Linked DNA regions of Oryza sativa Japonica Group. The main gene of each other region encodes a partner of the protein of the gene in region 2 in a complex. Links are inferred from orthologs where the notes say so. Each region holds a gene or a part of one and is shown on either strand. Other genes may lie near its edges. The genes, in order: sm-like protein LSM7, sm-like protein LSM2, sm-like protein LSM8 and sm-like protein LSM5.

Region 1 (5,778 bases), about 1.5 Mb from region 2:
TGGTGCAATATATGTTTATATAAAACTATACAGAGGCTATTAAAGTGGTTGTAGATGATATCTAAATTTTTAGGGAAAGAAGTTGGCTACACTATTAAACTCGCTCTAAAACGAAGATATGTGATAAAGATGAATAATATTTTTTATGAAGAAATTTTATGCTTCTAAGGGCCGGGTACAATTGAGGACGGAGAAAAAGTAGCGGCAAAAAAAAACTAATTACCTTTAAAATTAAATTCTAAAACTCAAAAACCACAGCTTAAGGTCCTTTTTGTTTATTCAATAAAAGTTGGATGTAGGGGCGGAGCCAGGATTTTGAGCCACTAGGGTCATAGTTTTTACTTATACTAATGTCGTGTTTAAAACTCTAATTATTCTCAAGAATTATTTTGAGCTACTTTCGTGTTTAAAATGACATTAGCTCAAAATTATTTTGGATCTAGAGCTATGAGGAAGTTGGGATTGTTTCATTTTGTTAAAAAAATGTTTAAACTCTATATTCTATAAGAATGTAGGAGTATTTTTAAGGTCCAAAAAATTAAAAGTTAAGACTATAAAACTAGGCATATCAACCATGTGTTTTTCAGACATAAAAGTTTGTTCTGAAAGTTGTTTATCACTTCCTCTATCTCAAAATACAACTACCTACTCTCTTTTTTAAAACATTAATGTTAGGGTGAGAAATAGTTATGGTTGGTTGAAAAAAAAAGTAGGTGAAAAAATTAAATCAGAAAAATTGTGATTGGTTGAGATGGAACGGTTCATAGAAAATTCTATTAGTTGTATTTTATGATAAATTTTAATATTAAATGTAACATATTTTGAGACGGAGTTAGTAGCTTAAAAAACACATCTAACATCTAGTAGTTGATTAGCAAAACTACAGGCCTAATGCATTGATATACACAACTCATAGCTAAAACAATTAGTTGGTTAATATCTACTTTAGATTTGAAACATAGTTGACAAAAAAAAACTTTAAAAAAATTGTCATGGTTTGGATAGAGTTCATGAAAGAGTCAACCCTTCTTCTATTTTCGTTGATTTTTAGTATAAAAAATCCATTTGCCCCCATTAAGATATAGTAATTTTTATGTTGGTTTTTATTATCATACTTTTCAAATTGCTAAACAGTATATTCCATGTGAAAACATTTTATATATAAGTTATTTTAAAATACATGATAAATCATTATTTCAACTTAGTAATAATTAAAACGCAACACTTTCTTGTTTTTCGTACCTAACTTTATCTCTACCTTTAATAAAACAAGATAATCTTTTTATTAGGAAAAAATATTATTATCTTCGCTCCAAAATATATTAACTTTCCATTATAAATCTAGGCAACATTTTGGGACAGGGTAGTATCGTATATTCAATTGTTCTCACTAGAGCAAAAATAGTTCAGTTGTTCATCACATTAATTGCGCAAATCCTAATTGGCGCGCACGCGCCCCTGGCGCGCACGCGCCGGCCCACACGTCTCATCCTCAGCCATTCTCAGCGCTTGCGCTGGCGAGACGCGCGTTTATTTTTTTCGGAATTTTTTCTCTATACGTATAAAACTGATTCGGTTAGTTCTAGGTAATGATAATAATTAAGATAAGATTTGTCTTTTTTCCGAAGATTATTTTAAGTAATAAATTGAAAAGAAATATATATGTGAAGTCAAATTCTAAAAACTTTCAATCCAGATTTGAAAACTTTCAATCTAGATTTGAAAAGTTTTTGAAGTTAAATTTTAAAAACTTTCAACTTTTCATCCCAAATTTAAAACTTTTCATCCTAGATTTGAAAAATTTCAAGCCAGATTTGAAAACTTTTAACTCAAATATAAAAACTTTCAACTCAAATTTAAAAACTTTCAATACAAAATTTAAAAACTTTCAAGTCAAGATTTGAAAACTTTCAAGTCAATTTTGAAAACTTTTAACTCAAATTTGAAAATTTTCAACTCAAATTAAAAAACTTTCAATACAAAAATTAAAAAATTTCAAGTCAAAATAAAAAACTTTCCAATTCTACATTTGTAAAGAGGTGTGCAAAAGATTAAAAAAAAATCGGAAAGAAACGGAGGAAAAAAAACGCGCTCAGAGAAAAAAAAAGAGGTGCGAACATGAAAAAAAAATGTACTGCGTTTTTTTACACGGTAAGCGCTAGGGTTAGTAGGAACACGCGCGGCTTCCCGTTCTGGCGCGTGCGCGTGCAGTAGGAACACCCCATTAATTGGGCTTCAAATCATACACATTGAAGCAATTAGGCTTCATCTCTAAAATGGGCTGAAGGCCCAATAAGAAAAGTCCTCCTTATACCTCTATAAAGTGATTGCGAGAAAAAGAAAAAAAAAGAAGAAAAAAAAAGAGAAAAACACAACACCATCAACCCCCGCATCCGCCACCGCCGCCACCACCCCCTAACTCCGGTAAGCCGCCGCCGCCGTCGCCGGCGGGCGCCGTGTCTTCTCCCATCCGTCGTCTCGGATCTTGCAGCGAAATTTGACAAAGTTTCCCTCCTTGCCTCGCAGATTTGAAGCGACCAGAGGCCGCGGCTAAGGTCCGGGATGGTAAGTTGTAAACCCTCTTCTCCCCTCCTGGGGTTTCGGGTGCTCGATTGGATCGATCCCGGGTGCTAGTTCTTGGTTTGGTTTGGTGGGATTGATTCCGGTTTCGTGTCTTGGTGGAGCAGTCGGGGCGCAAGGAGACGGTGCTGGACCTGGCCAAGTTCGTCGACAAGGGCGTCCAGGTCAAGCTCACCGGCGGCAGGCAAGGTTGGTTGGTTTCATCACCAGTTTAGGTCTGGATTCTTGAATACTCGTAGATGTGGGTATAGTTTTGTGCCAAGAAACCTCAGTGGCAGGGGCAGGAAATCCTAGGTCTGCAGCAAAATTGTAGAGTAGGGTATAGCCAGCTCGAACAGCCTCATTATAAGTGAAACGGTTTAATTAGCGATTAAAAATATAATTTATGGGTAAAACTTTTATATATGAGTTCTTGGTGATTTAAAAGCAAATGCTGAACAAAAGAAACTACGATGAAAAATCACCAAAATCAACTCTATAATAGTTTTAAAATTCAAATTTTCACTTACGCTTATAAGCTGAAGGCTAAATGATGGGGTTGGAAGAAGCTACTAATTATTTCAGTAAAATTCACTGTGCGCATCAGCTCCAGTCCACAGTAATGATCTGAGATGTCGAGCGCAGCATCCATGTGGCTAGTTTTAACATGTCCTCTGAATGCTTATAGCACATAATTGTGAGTTTTCAAGCATGGTGGTTGGTAAATTAAGGTTTTGTCACAAATTGGTCATCTTTTAGCATTTCTTGTGATGGATCCTGCTGTCCAAGGGCCATCCGCCACCCAGTTAAAATTAACGAGTAGCAACTTTATCAATTGACACTTCCTAATTCCTTAATATTCTTTCATAATGAATAAGTCTGGAAATGAGCTCCGCTCAATCCCTTAAACATTGATTCCAGTGTTCTGTATGATACCACATATAAACCAGCATTCCACTTGCATTCATTCAGAATTTCAGCAACACCAATATGTGCATGTGGAGAGGATTTGGCCCTACTAGAAGCTTACCGCCTTCTCTTCCAGTTTTTTACTTTCAATCTGTATGCTCACAGATACCAGATTCTGTGATTGCATATTTTTGAATTACACCTTGTATTCTGTTTGTAGCTAACCTCATCTAGATAGTGAAGGCACTCTCATGGTTGGCTATCCTGATAACTATATGATGACTTTTCACCTTTATTTTTTTTCTTTTTTCAGTATCATTTTACGGACAGAGTGGTAAAATATCATATGCTAACTGTATATTGAAATAGAAACTCCGTCAAGCAGATGAGCGGCCCCTTATGTAATATCTTAAGTTTTGACATTGTTTATAGTAGTTGCAAGGAGGTTAGCCATTAGCATTGATATTAAGATAAAGATTGAAAATAGACTAAAAAATGACAGTAGAACTGTTTCAATTTCCAGAAAACTCGTTTTTGTTATCCTGCAGTTTGTTATAATACACTAATACCACATCACAGGCCATAACTTTGGTATTTCTACATCTGCAGTTACAGGGACTTTGAAGGGCTATGACCAGCTTCTAAACTTGGTGCTTGATGAAGCGGTTGAATTTGAAAGAGGTACTGCTGCATATGTTGATACATTGCATTGTTTTGTTTGATCCCCATTGGTTTGGAGTTTTGAGTATAAATCACAAATCTATGTATTTGGAATCTTAACTAAGAAGAAATTTCCATCCTTCATGCATCTTGTATGTTTATGTGGTGCTAATCTACTGTTATGTACAAAGAAGATTGGGCTGGAATACAGCATAATAATTACACATAGACTAAATTTTAGTTTTCCCATTGTCAAACAATCATGACTGGAGGGAGTACTACTTGCTAATGTAGGTGTGGTACAGTTGTAGATAACAAATGCCTTATTAAATCTTTTCCTGCAAAGTTTAGTGAAGCTCTCATACATACTTTCTCATTTTGTAGAGCAAGATGATCCATTGAAACTATCAGGGAAAACCAGACAGCTTGGTCTTATTGTAAGTTTCTTTGCAGTATTGATTTCAATATCCAGGACTGTATTGATTTCAATATCCAGGACTTATCTTTGTCCTATATTATTTATATTGCTTGCCGATTGTAGTTCTGATAGTTCTTTTCTCTAATACACGAGATGTGTGTATCATTTCATTAAGAGAAGGAAGCTCTGAGAGTTTTTATTTCCATGCTATACGATTATTTTGCACTTTGCTGAAATCTGCACTAGTTTTTTTTTTTTCTGGAAATGTTGATTCGATCAGATTTACAACAAAACAGTGATTAAACAAAAATAATCTCAAAATCAAGAGCTTGGTTTCTTGCAAACTACTAGTTTGTTTCTGCCATTTGATTTCTTTTTGGCTGGTTTCATCATCCTGACACCTCAGCTCCAACGACTGTTTGTTGCAGGTCTGTAGGGGTACAGCGGTGATGCTTGTATCGCCAACCGATGGAACGGACGAGATTGCCAACCCCTTCCAATCTGATGGTGCATAAACCTGCAGGAGCTGATGGTTCTCCTAGTCAAGATCCATGCTCTCCCAGTAGAGAGGCCTTTGTATTAACTCATGTAATCTGGTGCCACAGTCTCTTATGACTCGTGTCTCTTATGAACACCAGGTGGTGGTCTGTTCTGTACCACTCGAAACTGATTTCTGAAGATCCTTGCTTTGTGTCAGATATATGAATCGCATTATGCTCTTGTTCGGTTTGTTCATATACTGTGCATGGTTGGTTTCTTTGCTTGGTTCAGCTTTCACCTTTGCCCCATCTGTGACTGTGAGCTTGCTTGCAGTCTCTTCTGCATAAACTGCGTTTGCAACAGTCGGAAAAAGACATGGAAAAGAACAGAGTTAATTTAGGCATTTGAGTGACCTTCCGTTTGGTGGCTGTTCCTGCATCAGGTGATTCAGATCATTACCTTAAGCAGCCATGTGAAGCTTCATAGATTGCATATTCTTCTGCCCTGTTTAGAATGAGTTCCTGTTCGGATTGTGTATTATTCAATCGACAGTAGTGACAGGAATCTGTTACCGGATCATCAAAATCTGCTCACGAGCGATACCATCAGATTTCATGGAATCTGTTACTAAACATACAAACTGGTGAAATCCAAATAAATTGTCAAAAAAAAAATTCAGTTTGAAAATTTTTGAACTTGACCGAAAAACAAGTGGTTTGTGTTTTCGACACGGTCTGGAAAGTCTGTACTTC
Region 2 (5,424 bases):
ACGATGATCACTTAACTCTATAGTACTACTTTAATTTGAGTGTTTTTCGTCGCAAGCTTTAAGATCAAAAGCCACTACTCATATTGTTGCAAAAACACACTATTCCAATATAGTATTATACGAATTCCTGAGCTCTCGAATAAGTAGGTTCACAGTCGTTTTCAGATTTTAAGTTGGGAAAAAGTTGCGACGCTTTAACGTCAAGTCGCATTCATCCAAATTCTGCCTAATAATTTCTAGTCATTGATCATTGACCGGTCAACAACAATCTGCTGAACTGGAACATGCAAATGTGCAGCCTGTTCTCAGGAACATGGCCTGAAAAAACATCTCAACTAACCAATGGGCACCGTTGATCTAACAAACATTGATTGGAGTACACAAGAAAGGGAAGCAGCATATGGCATCGCCAAATGCAATCTTTGGATAGTTTTGTCACTGCAAGTATCAGGAGGAATTGCTACAGACTTTTTTAACTCCCTGTCAATATTGCTGTCTGTCACACCATACTCCATACATGTCCCCCATACATCAGATTTAGGGCTCCTCCAAGGGCGAAAATACGGTGTGGATCATCAGCCTCCGCGAGCCTCCCTCCTGGTGGCATCATGGAGGATGTCAATGTCGACGCCATCCTGGGGAAGCAGCACGTACCGCACCACCGATCCCCTGATGAAGCAGTTTCGCACGGATAGCTGCCAGAGCGAAAGCTTGAGTCAGCATGCTCAAATGAATTCTTTGTAAAGTGTTAGTGCTTGATTAATGTAGTTCTTCCATATAGAACAGTGAACACAGGTGCGTTGTTGTATTTTTAACAATAGAAATTAACAGGTGCAAGTGGTAAAGCAATGAGAGTATGAAGATTGTTTCAGCAAGCAAAGATAACAAAAGGATATGAATCTTTCCATCACTATCATGACCTACAAAACACAGTATATAACATTGATCTATAGCTTTGCTTTCCTTTGGGATTACTTCAGGCATCATGTACTTGTAACAACTAACAAGCAATCTTTAGTAACCTATGCAGTACAAAAGTACACCCTTCATACAATATCATTGGATGGAACTGAAGGCCAAATAAATATCTAGGTACGGATACTGGTTGTCCCTGTCAAGTAATGTGCTTGCCTGGTTACAACAGTATTTGCACTGGAATTACCAGTGCATCTTAAGCTCCTAATTCTGCACCAGTAAGGCATGTCACGAACTAGGTATACCACTATATGATCTACTCCCCATTAATTCCTAAATTCATGTCAATGTAGCCCAAAGTTTGTTCTACAAACATTTAGACATACCGCCTTTTATCATTAGCTGGTGACTACTTCAGGACATTTACTACAGAACCATTGATTGGAGTCAACACACCACTGTGTTATGGATTGGCTAAGGTAAGGGTCTGAAGACCAGGGGATAGGGCACTCGCCCTCTAATAGCAGCGGCAGGACTTCTCCCTGCTGAGCTGAAAGACTCATTGATTAGAACTCTAAGGCTTAGCGCTAACTTCAGATATTAATTGATTATAGGGTATATGGGGTCCCTTTATATATAGGAGGATAGACTTGACATCCAAGGAACTAATCTCTAGTACTACAGAAACCAATCCAATATCTATCTATAACTTTCTAATAAACATCATCTCTTTCCTAACTAGATACTCTCCTATCTTTATTTGACTATTCCTAAATTATCATGCCTAAACTGCTGCATGGGCCTGGCCCATGCCCAAAACAACAGAGAGTAACAAGTGATCTAATGAAGAGTAATATCTACTATGGTTTATAAAGATGGTTATTATTATCTTCCTTATGCATACTCTTGGTTGTGGGATACTGGGATCCTATAACTGACATTTTGGGCCTCACTGTATGCCCAAAGAAGAATCAGCTGCTGCCATAATTTGAATTTTAGAACTTTTTTTTTGGAGTTGATTTTAGGGTATTTTCAACTTAGTTTCTTTTTCAACATTGGCTTTTAAGTTGCTAAGAAGACATATAAAAGTTTACCCACAAATCAATTTTTGGATATAGTCAGCTCTTGGCCAACTGACGGAGCTCCTAGTTACTAACGGAGAGTGTTACCTGATCCATATCCATATCGTACTTCTTTTACTTATGCAACTACATGTCAGACGTGCAACCATTCTGAATTGTGATACAGCATTCAGCACTAACTAAACATGTAAGGATCATGCTAAAGGTACTCCTTTAACAGATTAATAAATCAACAGATGACAAGTACATGCTATGCAAACAGAAGAGAAGAAATCTGAAATCATGTAGAATGAGGTGATTTTGAATGTATCCATTAATCTGACACAGACCAATCACAAGAAGCATCATGATCTGCAACACTGAATGGCATGGAAGATGTAGCACAGGCATTGGGGCTCCTTCAGAGGATAGTATTCTGACAAGCCCGGGGTTAGCACCGTGCATGAACCAATATCTATGTATAAATCCTTTTGAAAGAAGGCAGTGCGACCCCACCTCCATGAACTACATTTTAATGAATAGCCCCTTGAAGTTCTTCAATACTACTAAGTCAAAATATAGCTACTTTTGGTTATGACTCTGGACAAGTACTTGTCCACATTCACAGCCAAAAGTAGTTACATTTCAAGACGGAGGTAGTACATAATAGTAATTACAAAAAATGTTATAGTCCTATTTGACCATTTTGACCTTATCAAATTGACTGAGTTGCCACATGTACATGTGTGTTGTTCAAGCTAATTTGGAATAGAAAAATGTGTAAACACGGTAAAAAGAAGTGAATAATTAATCAACTGAAAAACCATAGCAAATGCACAAACGCACATGCATATTGAAGTACAAAACCATGAAAACTTCCTAAATCTATCTTGAACAGAGAACAAAGCATACAGAGTCAATATATCTACAGAAGACCACCGTAAAGAACCAAGAAACACTGTGTTTGCTGCAGAGTCAATATATCTACAGAAGTACCCATGCAAACAAGCGGCTAATTGCTATCCATATTTCACCAGGACAGAGACAGACAGATAGATAGATAACCAGAGCAGCATCGCATCGCATCGCATACCATGTGCGGGTACTTGTCCTGGTCGACAACCCGAGTGTTCTCGAGCTTGATGTTGAGGTATTGGTCGACGGAGTGGAGCGTGCCGCGGATGGCCAGGTCGTTCTTGAGCTCCACCGTCACCTCCTTCCCCACGAGCTCCTTGAAGTAGGAGAAGAACAGCTGCACAGCAACCAAATCAACAGAACAAAAAATAAAAATCAACACAAACTAACAGAACAAAAAAAATGAAGTGGGAAGAGAAGAAATCAACGAGCAGTTGAACAAAAAAAACTAAAAAAAATATTCTACCATACTGGCCGCAGAACCCTCCCCGCCTTAGCTCCGAAGAATCTGCAGACGCAAGAGGCAGGATTAGCACCCAGTGGACGGGATCCCCAAACATTTTTGAGGGGCAAATAAAAACAAAACTTCTAGTCCTATTATTAAGGTTTAAGGCTATCAAATTAAGAGAAAATCAGCTTCTCCCAGATCTAGAAGAGAAGATACAGTTAACGCAGGCAAGCAAATTGGACACAAAAGCGGGTGGGTTGGAGAGAGAGAGGGAGATGAATGAGAAAAGAGGATGCGGATGCTCACCAAGAAGCAGCAGGACGACGGCGGCGAGCGCCTCTCCCCCTCCCCTGGTAGCGAGATGGAGATCGGCGCAGGCGCAAGGAGCGGAGAGGATAGACCGGACCGCCGGAGATGGAAGCGCGGCAGCCGGATCGGGAGGAGGCAAAACCCTAGAAGAGCGCGAGAAGGCGGAGGAGGAGGAGTTGGGTTGGGTTGGGTTGGGTGTTGGGTATGAGATAGGACCAAACCATATTATTATGGGCCGGGTTAGGGTGAAAGGCCCATATAGCTTTATTTATTAGGAAAAAAGTATACTCTGACTCCCTCAACTATCACCCGAGTATGATTCATGTCCTCCAACTTCCAACTATTAAAACCGGTGCAAACAAATAAACAATATCCCTCGGTGGTTTTGGAAGTGGTTTTGGCTGACGTGGCGGTCTTGACCGAGTCTTTATCCAACATGGCGCTTACGTGGCATTAGAACAAAAACAAAATTAAAAAATGTGGCGCTTACGTGGCATTAGAATAAAAACAAAAAAAATATGTGGGACCCATATGTCATTCACACAAAAAAGTGGGACTCACTGACATGAGAGACCACATGTCATCCTCCCTCTCCTTCCCTTCTTCCTCCTATCTCTCTCTCTCGGGACTCAGGAGCGGCGGTGGTGGCAGTGGCCGATGGGGACGAGGCGGAGGGGAGCGTTGGTGGCGGTGGTGGCAGGCAGCGCCAGCGATGACGGTGAGGACGAGGTGGTGGGGAGCGGCGACGGTGGCGGTGGAGAACGCGGCTATGGCCCGCGGCCACTAGGAGGGAGGAAGGGGTATGAGAGGGGAGCCGCCCCCGTGGGGGGTCGGAGTCAGCGTCACCGGCGGCTGGCTAGCGCGGCGGCAGCGGCACGAGCTCCTCCCTGAAGCACGAAGCACGCCCTCCTCCTCCTCCTCATCCTCCTCCTCTGCTCTCCTCCGCCACAATCGTCCCCGTAAACCACCTCTTCCGCCTTCTCCTCCTCCTCCCGACCGCTACCGTCGCCGCTCCCCTCCGCCTCGTCCCCACCGCCACCGCCGTCGCTCCCCACCGCCGTCACCGCCGCCACCGCTCCCCTCCGCCTCGTCCCCATTGGCCACTGCCACCATGAGAGAGAGATAAGGGAGGGAGAGAGGAGAGAGAGGGGGGGAGGATGACATGTGGGTCCCACATGTCAGTGGGTCTCACTTTTTGTGTGAATGGCATATGGGTCCCACATGTTTTTTTTGTTTTTATTCTAATGCCACGTAAGCGCCACGTTGGACAAAGACTCGTTCAAGACCGCCACGTAGGCACCACGTCAGCCAAAACCACCAAGGGGCATTTTTTACACCGGTTTTGATAGTTTAAGGAGTCAATATACCCGGTTTTGTGGTTGGAGGATATGAATTATACTCGGGCAATAGTTGAGGGAGTCAAAGTATATTTTCCCTATTTATTATCTCATGTGATTTTTTTCTCACACAAATAAAAAGGGAGTGAGACAGGGATGCAAGTGGAGCGGGTAAACGGGATTTTTCCCCCTCCGCTTATCTCACTTCTAATTTATTTTTTTTTCCAAAATTAACATGTGGGATTTATTTCTGACACTTATCCTACTTTTAATTTATTTTGCCCCTAAAGAAAAAGGGAGTGAGACAGGGATGCAAGAGAAGCTGGTAAATGGGATTATTTTTCCTCCCCTTATCCCACTTCTAATTTATTTTCTTTCTAAAATTATCGTGCGGGATTTATTTCCTTCGCTTATCCTACTTTTAATTTATTTTTTTTCC
Region 3 (5,467 bases), on a different chromosome or scaffold from region 2:
CATACTCATAACCATGTCAAGTGGCGAAGAAATTAAAACAGATATTAAGTAATTGAAAGCAAAGCGGCCGCAATTAACGCAACAGAACAGAAGAGGGCCCCGCGACCGCGAACGATCGAGAGTAGAATGTCCAGGTGTGTGGAGCCTAGCCTAGCACAAGGCGTACACACGAACAGGCCGGAGAGGATGGATGGAATCCAAGCCAAACAAAAAAAAAAAACATTCCTTCCGTCCGTTGGCCGTTGCAAACAGGTGCTCCGTAGTTGTAGAAGCAGACGAGACACGGCAGGCAGGCAGCAAGCTGGTAGAGCCAGAGCCCAGCCAGCTGCCCTGCCAGTGCCCGGGGAGGTTAGGCTTTGTTGTTTGGACAGAGTGGCCGTGCGATATGATGATATGATCGATGCAGAGAAGAAAAGAAAAACTGCCTAAACTTGGCATTGGCATTATTAGTTCGTTGTTTATGGTTGGAAGAGCGAGAGGCAAATCCAAGAAAAGCAAATGGCAAAAGATGAGCTAGGATATAAGAAGCCCATTAGCACTATTGGATTGGATCGGATCGGCGGGCGGCCTCGTCCTCGTCGGGACGACGGCAGACAATGGCCGCCGCCGCGATGATCCTCCCATTACTATTGCTATTGTGTTGGTTTCTGCTGCTGTCTGTGGGCGACGCGATGTGTTGGTTCAACGACGACGCATCAGCATCGGCACCAGCGGGGTGGTTGGTGTCGTGGACCAATGGGATGGGTTGGTACAAGGGGATGCCGCGGGAGTTCGTGGACGGCCACAACCAGCTGCGCGCGCGCTACGGGCTGCAGCCGATGAGGTGGGATAACAAGCTGGCGAGGCAGGCGCGGCGGTGGTCCGACGCCATGCGCGGCGACTGCCAGATCCGCCACTCCACCGGCAACAGCTTCGCCGAGAGCCTCTACATCGGGAGGAACGGCTGGAACGCCAGGGCTTCCGACGCCGTCCGATGCTGGGGCGACGAGGAGCACCTCTACGACAGGGACACCGGCAAATGCACCGCCGGCGTCGACTTCCACGAGTGCGGCCACTTCGCCTTCATGGTCAGGCCCAACTTCACCAGGATCGGCTGCGCCCGCGCCGAGTGCTTCAACGGCGGCGTCTTCATCACCTGCAACTACTTCAAAGACGAGCAGCACCAGCCGGCTACCCCTCCCACCTACTCCTAATATGCTCTTCTTCTCTTCAACAACTGACCTGCCTGCCTTCCTCATTCATGTACATTGATACAGCTGCACAAACAATACAATACAATGGAAACCAAATCTTCACTCACTGAGTCACTGTGTCTGTGTTCGTGTTCAACAAACATGCATCACCCATCCACCACCACATAAAACCATAACATTCTTCTTCATGCTCGCTCATCCGCTTGCTGGACTTCCTCGCGTACGTTAAAGAAGTTCACTCATCGGCAACACTAGCACCCACTTCTTCACAACTTCTGGGACAACACTACATTTAGGTTTAGCTTACTACTAGTAGTAGTACATCATTCATTCGTTTCCATTAGTGGATCACGGGCTTCAGCGGGTGCGCTCTCAGATTCGATAGATCCAGCCTCGCATCCAGTTCTTCATCCACCTCCCCCACCACGCTGCTGTAAATATGCATCACCCACGGATTCAACTTCAGTTAGGCACACCACCAAACAAAATAACACATCCATAAACGACCTCCATGCAGGTAATTAATAAGCAATAAACAGCTCAAACGACAATTGAGGAAATAGCTTACATGTTGTCGCCCCTTATGATGTACAACCCAAGAACAAGCTGTTGCACTCCCTCCTGCAGGTACAACACATTTCTCTCATCACTACTCAAAATTTCAACTGTACTACTAACAGCACATGCCACAAACTAAAAGCATGACAATTTAAAGGCATTGGCCCCTAGTCCTTAAGAAGGCATATCCCATATTCAATAGAGAGGTGCATGATACGAGACATATAACTATTCATAGTCAACATTGCCTGCAAATTGTTAGAACAACAACTCTGCACCATAAAGAACAAAGACATTCCAATACCTAACTATTGAAGACAAAAAATAATATGACTTCTGAAAAATTGAACGTGCACAAGGTAGAATTAATCGAACCAATCCTTGAAGAAAAAGGTGCTGTTATGACAAATTCAGCTAAAACATGTTACAGTATAAACTCATTATTTTGCAGGAAACGAACTTCAGTTCATACTGACAGTAGACATGATGATAGATACGAACAGTCAACAATATGAACTCATTACTTCATGATGACATTTATAACCATCATGAAAGAGAGCCATCTTTGAAAACAATCTGTGTTTAGCCATAAAGGGTACTGTGTAATACATGTTGGCAACTAACTTTCAAGCACCATGAGAGAAACTTATTGCTGATTGCAGAATTCTGCACTAGTGAACCAATGAGAGCATTTGACAGCAAACCAGGGAGAAGGTCACAATTAACAAGGACATACTGGAATAACAAAAAAAAATTGTGTGGCTGAACTTGTAGCCTTAGCAAACAGGCAACTCTATGGAAAATGCCAAACAGACTGTGGTAGAGATTCTAAACGCAGAAAAATTTAGCAGAGTAACTAACTGTAAGTATGACCGCCTTGTAAACATAACTTTATGAAGATGGAAGTAAAGTGTGTGTTGCCGGATTATCAGGGCATATAGTACTAGCTTAGTGAAATATTGATATTGCTGTAAAATTAATTGAAGGTTTGCAAGATAGCATGAAAGAAGCGTAGAAAGAGTTGGGAGCAACCCTACCCTGGTAGAATAGACCCTCTCATGGGACTCATCGAGGATGATGTTGGTGGCTTGATCGAATCCTCTGAGTGTCCCCTGACGAAGCGGAGGCAGGGCAATTCGAGTGAGTATTAGCGAGAGCCAAAAAAAACAAAAAAGGTGTACGAGTAGATCAAACAAGGGGCTCACCACAATGTTGCGGCCATCGTTTGTGATGACGGATATGATCTCTGGAGAGAAAAAAAAAACATCATCTATCACTAGTAATAGTAGGAGGAGGAGAATCTTGGGTAGCTGGGTGAGATGAGATAAAAAAAAAAGAGGGATGAACTCACGGTCGACGAGCGATTCGAGCCCCGGGCCGGCGGACGCCATCCTGTAGTTCAGGTGGAGTGGGGTGATTGGGGAAGCCGCCGCCGCCGCCAAGGGGATCGCCGGAGTTGAGGGGATGCGGCGACGATTTGTGTTTTGGAGAGAAGAAAGAGATTGAAAACCCTAGCTCAACTTCGTCTTTGGAGTTGCCGAGCGGGCTTTTATATGGGCCATCAAATGCGTGGGCGGGCCTCTCCAGCCCAGCTAAGAGAAGCCCAGCCCACCATGAGAGATCCTTCTCTGCTCCCCCTCCCGTCGTCATCGCCTCCCCAAATCACATCACATCGCGTCGGAGAATCCCTCTCCTCCCGTCCCGCCGCCGCCGCCGACGACGACGACGACGTCCAGCCCTCCTCCGTAATCCCCCACTTGTTGGTGAGTGACTGAGTGGTGACCAACTCTTGCTCCATTGTTTCTAAGATATTTTCTTCTCCCTTGCCCTACCTGTTCCTCTCTCCAATCCAAATCTCTCTTTCTAGGACGGCTGCTCCAATCGATTTTATTGCTCATGTTTTTCTTGGGTCCTTACCAGCAAAATCTTATAGATCACCCACCTATTTTGCTCTCCTTGCTTACATCTACATGTAAGAAAAAAAAATAAACAAACATAAAACACTGCACCATCCTGTAAGGAACTAGCCCCTGCAAACAAGCTAATCATTGACGAGTTTTATGTTAATGCGACTTGCTAGCTGCTAGGGTTTTTGGCTAGTCTTCGCCGTTTTTTGGGTCACGTTGGTTCTCCACTATGAAATAACACTACAGCAGCACAAAAGTAATGCAGTAATAATATCTTATAAAGCCCAAAGAAACCACCTTACAAATTACAAATCTACAAGCACGCAGACGCAGGAATTTCTTTATGTAAATACTAATTTGTCAGTTGCCTACGTGCTACTTGAAGATGCAAATACTGCACAACAAAGACTCTAGTGTACATAAATTTATAGATCTAGTCTTCTTTAATCCTTCACAAGTGCATTTTTCTGTATTTTACCAACACATGCGCATAATGTTTTCATTCTCATATGCACAAAGTTCTAAAGGCAGCTACTACTTTCAGACTACAGTACCTTTTGTTCATCTCAATTGGCATGCAGTACACTTCTGACAACTAGTTACTGATAACCTATTATACTTCACACTTGCTTGATTTTGTTCTATGTCCAATACTTTACTGTCCTTTTTACTGCCTGTTTTAGGGCCTGCACCTTGTGGTAGCCACTCTTTAATCAATGGAGAGCACAGAGCCCCTACAGGTAAACTCCTCACTTTGCCTTCTAGTGTTTCTGCAAGTATTGGTTTTTTCAAATACCGAATTTCCTGTTAGTGTTTAACTGCGATGATCGGTTGCTGTTGATTTGAGATCATGATTTAGCTGCTGCAAGTTCCATCTAAAATGACATTATGGGCTGTTTGGTTGGTATCAACACTTTGCCAAAAGGATAATTGAGGTTGTCTTTTGTGGTGGACAAATTCTCAACTATTCGCAAATCTTGCCAAGTAATTGAGTGTATGACAAGTGAGCCAGCTGGTTAAAGAAAGCCTGACAGAAAATGGCATTGGTAGTACCATGTTAATGGGCTGTTTTGTGTGTAATATGTACAAAGGCCTGAACCATGTTTGGACCAGTTTTTCATCGTACATGATACAAAAAAAGAAAAAAAAACATAGATGTCTCTTTTGTATACTAGGCAGTTTGTTTCTTTATGTTTTAGTTCTTTTCAGAAAACTGGGATAGAACTTCTGTTAATCTTTGCCTGCACTCTAAAAGGCCAAAATATTTAGCTAGCAATTTGTAGCAAGAAAATCTTCTGATAAGAAATGTAGGTTGTGTATAGTGAGCTTTCAGTAGTTCAGTGAACTGAGTTAATTTTCTGTTGCAGTGCATGGTGCTTATTGATCTATCTCAAATTAAGATCTTGTGCTTATTCAGAATCTTAATGACCTATATATTTATTTTTGCCATCTCATTTATCTCTGCTATGATATAACAAGGTGTTGAGCTTCTATTTAAAAACAATCTCTCATGTGTTTGTCAGGATATCATGTGCGAGTTTCGTGCGGGTAAGATGTCCCTTGATGGAACACGAGTGATCCCAGACACACGCAAGGGTCTTGTTCGCATAGGAAGGGTATGCATGCTAAAAGTCATACTTATCTTGAATTGAAGTTCTGTACTTCTATTTGTCCAGTATAACTTATAAGCCATTTGCATTCTCATATTTTATGGGGATTTGCAGTGCAGTTAACATATCCACTTGTTTGTAGGGTGAAGAAGGCTTGGTTCATTTTCAATGGCTTGATCGTGGACAGAATCTAGTTGAA
Region 4 (5,751 bases), on a different chromosome or scaffold from region 2:
CGAAGGCGATGGAACGAGGCGGGGGCACACGCGGCGACAGCTCGGCGTGCGGGTAGGCGCGTGGTGGAGATGGGAGGAGAAGAGGAGCTCGTCGGCGCGGGCTGGCCTAAGCCATGGGCGGATGTGACTGGGCTTTTTGGTCAGGTGCGGTGTCGTGCTGGTGCTGGCCACATCACCACATCGGTGGTCGGCCATCTGGGCTGGGTTTTCAGTGGGCCCACCGCTTTGTCCAATAATTCAATTGGGCCAAGGCTGTCAGAGAGGCCGACTAATAAATTCTGTTCGAAATTGAGCCTAATTTATATCTTTTGAATTTAGGCCCAACTTATATTTCTTTGGAATGAATAAGCCCAACTAATCAATAATATTATTTTCGTGGAATAAGTCCACTTTGTCTCCCCTAAAAGTGACCTAAATCTAATCCATGATCATAAATCGCAAAACCGGATATCTCGGCCCCCGAACTATTAAAACCGGTGTAATTTGACTCCCTTTGTGGTTTTGAGGGCGGTTTCGCTGACGTGGTGCTTAGGTGGCATTTGAATTAAAAACGTATATGTGGGACCCGTTTGTCATTCACACACATAAAAAAATTGTGGGGCCACCCACATGTCCTGCTCTCTCTTTCTTCTTCCTCCCCTCTTCCTCCCTTCTCTCTTTCTTTCTCTTTCTCTTCTCCCCCCTTCGGTCGGCCACGGGGAGCACGGGCTGGAGTGGCAGTGGCGGGGGCTAGAGTGGTGGTGGCCGGCGAGAGCTGAAGCGACGGTAGCGGCGGAACTGTAGCAGCTTGCTCTGGCTGACAACCAATTGACCGACAGGATTCCGCCGAAGATGGTAGAGATAGGGAGGAACCCTGCTCCGACTTTCGAGAAGAACCGGAGGGATGTTAGCGTGCTCGCACGCCTCCCCCGCGCACCCCGCCGCTGAAGGGGGTAGCTTCCACGCCACACACTCCAGCGCCCTCCCCCTAGCCCTCCCGCCTGTCACCGCCGCCGCCGCTTCGGCTCCCACCCACTGTCGCCGTCCCTGCCCGTCGATTGCTCCACGAGAGAGAAGGTGAAGAGAAAAGGGGGAGACATCAGCTAAGATACCGATTCCACAAAATCCCCCTTGGCCGTGACCCGTTCAAGGATTCATAGCTTCTCTTACGCGTCGTCTTGCTGTCAGTCCAGCGCCGGTGAAGGGTACATGACTTACAGTCATGGCGGTGGCGGCGCTCGGCTTTGTCACCCTCCTCGCCTTCTGTTTTTTGGGTTAGTTACTCTGAATCTCTGATTAAGATCGTCTTTGTTGACAACACATACTATATCTCAGTGCTATAACTCGCTTTGATCCTTTACATTGATGGAACAGCGCCGGCGGCGTTGATGTTGGGGTACTACCACGACTCGCCGGAGCTAGTCGTCGTCGGCTCAGGTTGCTCGAGGCTCGTGGAGACGAACTCGTTCATTGTGCAGGACATCAAGGTGATCATCCTCCCGTAGCTCGGTTCTGCACGAGCTCAGTCGAAGAGTGTTTTAATGTGTGCACTCGCTCTTGCAGGCGAGGACGGATGGAGGGTCGCCGGAGAATGGGTTGGTGCTCTACGGGATGCCGGTCGCTCCGCCTCTCGGCATCCCAGCCGCTTGGTCGGAGGCTCGCCGCGCCGTCGTACCAGCCGATTCCCACATGTCATTTTTTTTGTTTGAATCACATATGGGTTCCACAAATAATTTTTTTTAATTCTAAGCCACGTAAGCGCCACGTGGGACGAAGACTATGTCAACATTGCCACGTCAGCGCCACATCAGCAAAATCGCCTTCCAAAACCACGAAGGGAATCAAATTGCACTGGTTTTAATAGTTCGGAGAGTCACCCTATCTGATTTTACGGTTGAGGGTTATGGATTAGATTCGAGTCACTTATAAGGAAGTTAAAGTTGACCTATTCCTATGGTGCTTGAAACCTAGCAAAAGAAAAAAAAAGTGTGATATCTAATCGACGGCTGATTGCTCGATCGGACGGTGGAGAATACGTCTCGTGGGTGGAGTCGGCTAGGGCGCAGCGTTCGCAGTTGGAATCCTCCACCCAAAGCAGAAGCCTCCGCCGCCGCAGCGCCGCTACTCTTGCATCGCCTCCGCCGTAGCCGCGCGCGCCCTTCCCGTCGCCGCTTCCACCTCGATCTCCGCCGGAGAGGGCGTCCGCCGCCATGTCTCAGAACAACCCCTCCCAGCTCCTCCCCTCAGGTGCGCGGAAGAAGCTTCGCTTTAGTTTCTTATAAATCTCGCATCCTAGCTTGCTAACTTTGTTCCAGATAGATTTTGTTTTTTGGGGTTCGAGTTCTTGATTCAGTTCTTGCGGGCTTTGGTTTGTGCAGAGCTGATTGACCGCTGCATCGGGTCCAAGATTTGGGTGATTATGAAGGGTGACAAGGAGCTCGTCGGCACTCTCTGTGGGTTCGATGTGTACGTCAACATGGTGCTCGAGGACGTTACTGAGTAGTATGTGAAAAATCTTCCAATTCTCAACCCTATTTATTTTTCTACTTTCCGCGCCAGGTTTTTTTCTTGTAGGGTAATTTTGGTGTCACAGTCGTAGGGTAATTTCGGTTTCTTCTGATTAGATTCTTAGATTAGTTTAGCTCAGTTTCTCACATTTGTGTCTCAGTGTGCTGATATTGGAATTAGCTAAAATATTTAGAAAACATTGTTTGATTTTCTGAGAACTGAAGTACAGAAATATTGCCCACCTTATGCCAGATTGCTCCTACCTTGTTGCTTTGTTGGTTACTTTCCTCCATGTCATCAGGCAGATTTCGTATAACATGAGTTTGTATTATACTACCAATCATCATAGTTGGTATAGTGCAAGCTATTTTTGATCCTTTCAGTACTCATGTCATGATTGTTAACCCATTGTGTGCTTCAATTTAACTCACACAGACTTGGTTTCATGAAGTTACATAATTATAACATTTGCTGCTCTTATCAGTAATTCAGTATACTTAATATAACTGAAGATTTTATTTGTTGTTTAGTACTTAAGGTGTAACGCAATCACTAGTCTGTCTGTTCTAAGATCAACTGATATGAACGCTTGATTCCAAAGAAGCTGCAGCAGTGGAACACACTGTTTTGTAGGATTTCTGCTGCAGTAACATGTTCATCGTTGTAGTTAGTATTGTCTTGTTTGGGAATATTATTTCTCGCGGAAGGGAAGACAAGCTCTTTTCATCATGATTTATATGGTTATTTATTTGTGGTATAGGACAGAATGATAGTTGATAGCTAGGAGGGAATTGGTCATGTAAAAATGACTAAAGATATTTAGCAGATGGTGGCAGTAGGTTTCCATGAGTGTTATACTGATGCATCATGTATTTTGTGCTAGCTCTTCACAATTGTTGCATTAAGTTTATACTAGTCCTCCCAGGTGTTGATGTATTACTTTGTTTTCCCCGATATTACAATGTTCTATTATACCTGAATTAGTTCTAGAAATATTCATATTCAGTATCTTAGTAGTTTGTAGAATGCACATGTGGATGTTGTAACTATGTTCTTAAAAAGAGAGGTATTTCCTAACAACAAAAAATATCACAAACATATACTGCAACATAATGATGGTTGTTGAGCCATCTTGCAGAAGGGGCTGAAGTGAGCGTGTTTTAGAGTTTGTGTCATCTGATTATATACCATGACTGAAATCTATATGATCTGTTGATGTGCAATGTTTCACTAGTCCCCTAATAAAATGCTGGACCTAATGGTGGAATTTATTCCTATTAGCTGAATATGAAGTTACCACCATCACCCTTGCCAAACTAATGTATCATCTAGGAAATCACTTAGCAAAACCATACTGATGTTTATTAGTTTTTTTCACTTGCACATTTAGCATATGTATATGTTCAATATGAAATTATAGTCTAATGTTTGTTGTTTCATGATCCTCTGATTGTTTTATAGTGAATACACTGCTGAAGGCCGTCGCATAACAAAGCTTGATCAGATACTCCTAAACGGCAACAATATAGCTATTGTGAGAAATCTTGATCAAATACTTGTAATGAATGGTTTGGTAAAAGTTCGGTGTGACCTGCTATGTCTAACGCTATTTCATCTTTTGTTTGGCCTATACAGTTGGTTCCTGGTGGTTCTCCCCCAGATGTGGCATAAGCAAGCACTTCCGTGATATACCTGCTTGAGGCTGATGGAGGCACAGACCGGTGTTTCCTTACTTCAAATGTATTTCTTCCATTTGTGGCTGTACTGAACTTTCTTAGTTAACTGACCTGAAGTAGTGTACCTGCAACAGTTGCTCCTACATGATTTGGCAATGCTAAGTATGAGGTACCTCTTGTAGCTGTTTATTACCATTCTTCTGCAACCTGACTCAGTAAACACTAGGTGGTTGAAGAAACCTGATAATGGAGAGCATATCTACAATTGTTGTATTTGTGGTTCAGCAGTGTTGGACTTGATAATCTTTTTGCTGCATGCTTCCCTACATGTCTCTTTCCTCCTAGGAGCTATGTTAAATCTGGGATTAACGCCTTCTCTATGAGATAATGTGCCACTAGGAAAAAAAATACTGTATTTAATCTGAGGCGATCATGATATACAGTCACTGTACCCTAAAGCTCTGCCATCCGTTCATTCTCTGCATCTTGCAAACGACCGTAGCTTATCTTACACCCATGGCAGCCGCTCTTAGCTCCCTCAAGTAATGGACGGTAGTACGGTACAAAATTTCTTGGTAATGGACGGCACCAAATATATTTTCGCGACTTTGGGGGTGGGGGTGGGTGGGTGAGGAGCATATCGCTGTGATTTGGCAGTAATAGAAACTTAAACATCATGACTTCGGGGGTGGGGGCGGGTGGGTGGCAGTAAAAGAAACTTAAACATCATGAGTGACTTTTTTTTTTTGGCAGTAAAAGGAACTTAAACTGAATGACTTGGGGTGCCATCGTACGAGTCTACGGTTTTTTGTATACAATTGGACTTCAGGAATGGTTTGTGTGATTATGTTAGTTAGGGTGCCCATACAATCAGCTCTATTTTGCTGCTTCACACATCGTGTGATTTTTGTATACAATTGGACTTCAGGAATGGTTTGTGTGATTATGTTAGTTAGAGTGCGCATACGATCAGCTCTATTTTGCTGCTTCACACACCGTCACTCGATGTCACACCGACGCCGCTACACCGCTGTTGCTTGACACACCTAATTATTAGTTATATGACGGCACCGCCATTGCTTGACACTCCCAATTATTAGTTATATGACACGCTATTGCTTGACACTTCCGTGTGATTATGTTAGTTAGGGTGCGCATACGATCAACTCTATTTTCATGGGCAGAGCTACCATGATTCCTGGGTATTCCCGGGAATACCCAACTTATTTTTTTTTATCAAAAAGCAAGTATACTTCTAGTATATACACATGTACACATATTAGTGCACCTAAATCCTCAATTCTTCGATCCATACACAGCCCAACCGGCCTCTTGCAACGCCTCCTACCAACCCGACCCACTCCGTCATGACCCATTTATCATACATCAGTTGACCCATTTAGCCACCACTCTTCTAGACGGCCCCCTCTCACTCTCCCTCCGTGACCCATCCCTCCCTGGCTCGGCTCCTTCGCGCCGCTCCCCATACCTAGGCGGCGGCGCGGCGAGGAGGTAACCGGCAGCGGGAGCTGGACCGTGCTACCGTGGAGGGCGGCGGCCGGCGCCCGCCACTCCGCCAAGCTCAGGC

Evidence for each region.
Region 1: sm-like protein LSM2 (region 2) and sm-like protein LSM7 share a complex: the UniProt entries of both Arabidopsis thaliana proteins name them as parts of the heptameric LSM1-LSM7 complex. The link is inferred for Oryza sativa Japonica Group from reciprocal best matches to the Arabidopsis thaliana genes LSM2 and EMB2816.
Region 3: sm-like protein LSM2 (region 2) and sm-like protein LSM8 share a complex: the UniProt entries of both Arabidopsis thaliana proteins name them as parts of the heptameric LSM2-LSM8 complex. The link is inferred for Oryza sativa Japonica Group from reciprocal best matches to the Arabidopsis thaliana genes LSM2 and LSM8.
Region 4: sm-like protein LSM2 (region 2) and sm-like protein LSM5 share a complex: the UniProt entries of both Arabidopsis thaliana proteins name them as parts of the heptameric LSM1-LSM7 complex. The link is inferred for Oryza sativa Japonica Group from reciprocal best matches to the Arabidopsis thaliana genes LSM2 and SAD1.

The regions. Positions count from the first base shown.
Region 1 is NC_089042.1:4,609,788-4,615,565, forward strand, and holds sm-like protein LSM7, read left to right. Parts: upstream 1-2,264; 5' UTR 2,265-2,424; intron 2,425-2,526; 5' UTR 2,527-2,562; coding exon 2,563-2,565; intron 2,566-2,687; coding exon 2,688-2,769; intron 2,770-4,077; coding exon 4,078-4,149; intron 4,150-4,512; coding exon 4,513-4,565; intron 4,566-4,974; coding exon 4,975-5,061; 3' UTR 5,062-5,281; downstream 5,282-5,778. UniProt on the Arabidopsis thaliana protein: Component of LSM protein complexes, which are involved in RNA processing. Component of the cytoplasmic LSM1-LSM7 complex which is involved in mRNA degradation by promoting decapping and leading to accurate 5'-3' mRNA decay.
Region 2 is NC_089042.1:3,158,579-3,164,002, reverse strand, and holds sm-like protein LSM2, read right to left. Parts: upstream 3,794-5,424; 5' UTR 3,646-3,793; intron 3,400-3,645; 5' UTR 3,361-3,399; coding exon 3,358-3,360; intron 3,229-3,357; coding exon 3,070-3,228; intron 2,442-3,069; exon of another isoform or gene 2,300-2,441; intron 696-2,299; coding exon 576-695; 3' UTR 292-575; downstream 1-291. UniProt on the Arabidopsis thaliana protein: Component of LSM protein complexes, which are involved in RNA processing. Component of the cytoplasmic LSM1-LSM7 complex which is involved in mRNA degradation by promoting decapping and leading to accurate 5'-3' mRNA decay.
Region 3 is NC_089039.1:29,807,446-29,812,912, reverse strand, and holds sm-like protein LSM8, read right to left. Parts: upstream 3,276-5,467; 5' UTR 3,143-3,275; coding exon 3,103-3,142; intron 2,998-3,102; coding exon 2,957-2,997; intron 2,864-2,956; coding exon 2,789-2,863; intron 1,815-2,788; coding exon 1,762-1,814; intron 1,625-1,761; coding exon 1,534-1,624; 3' UTR 1,274-1,533; downstream 1-1,273. Other genes in the region: pathogenesis-related protein 1, read left to right, coding at 597-1,193; 26S proteasome regulatory subunit RPN13, read left to right, coding at 4,375-4,398, 5,182-5,274, 5,411-5,467. UniProt on the Arabidopsis thaliana protein: Component of the nuclear LSM2-LSM8 complex which is involved splicing nuclear mRNAs. LSM2-LSM8 binds directly to the U6 small nuclear RNAs (snRNAs).
Region 4 is NC_089039.1:18,938,519-18,944,269, reverse strand, and holds sm-like protein LSM5, read left to right. Parts: upstream 1-2,043; 5' UTR 2,044-2,189; coding exon 2,190-2,226; intron 2,227-2,357; coding exon 2,358-2,481; intron 2,482-3,948; coding exon 3,949-4,021; intron 4,022-4,122; coding exon 4,123-4,158; 3' UTR 4,159-4,436; downstream 4,437-5,751. UniProt on the Arabidopsis thaliana protein: Component of LSM protein complexes, which are involved in RNA processing. Component of the cytoplasmic LSM1-LSM7 complex which is involved in mRNA degradation by promoting decapping and leading to accurate 5'-3' mRNA decay.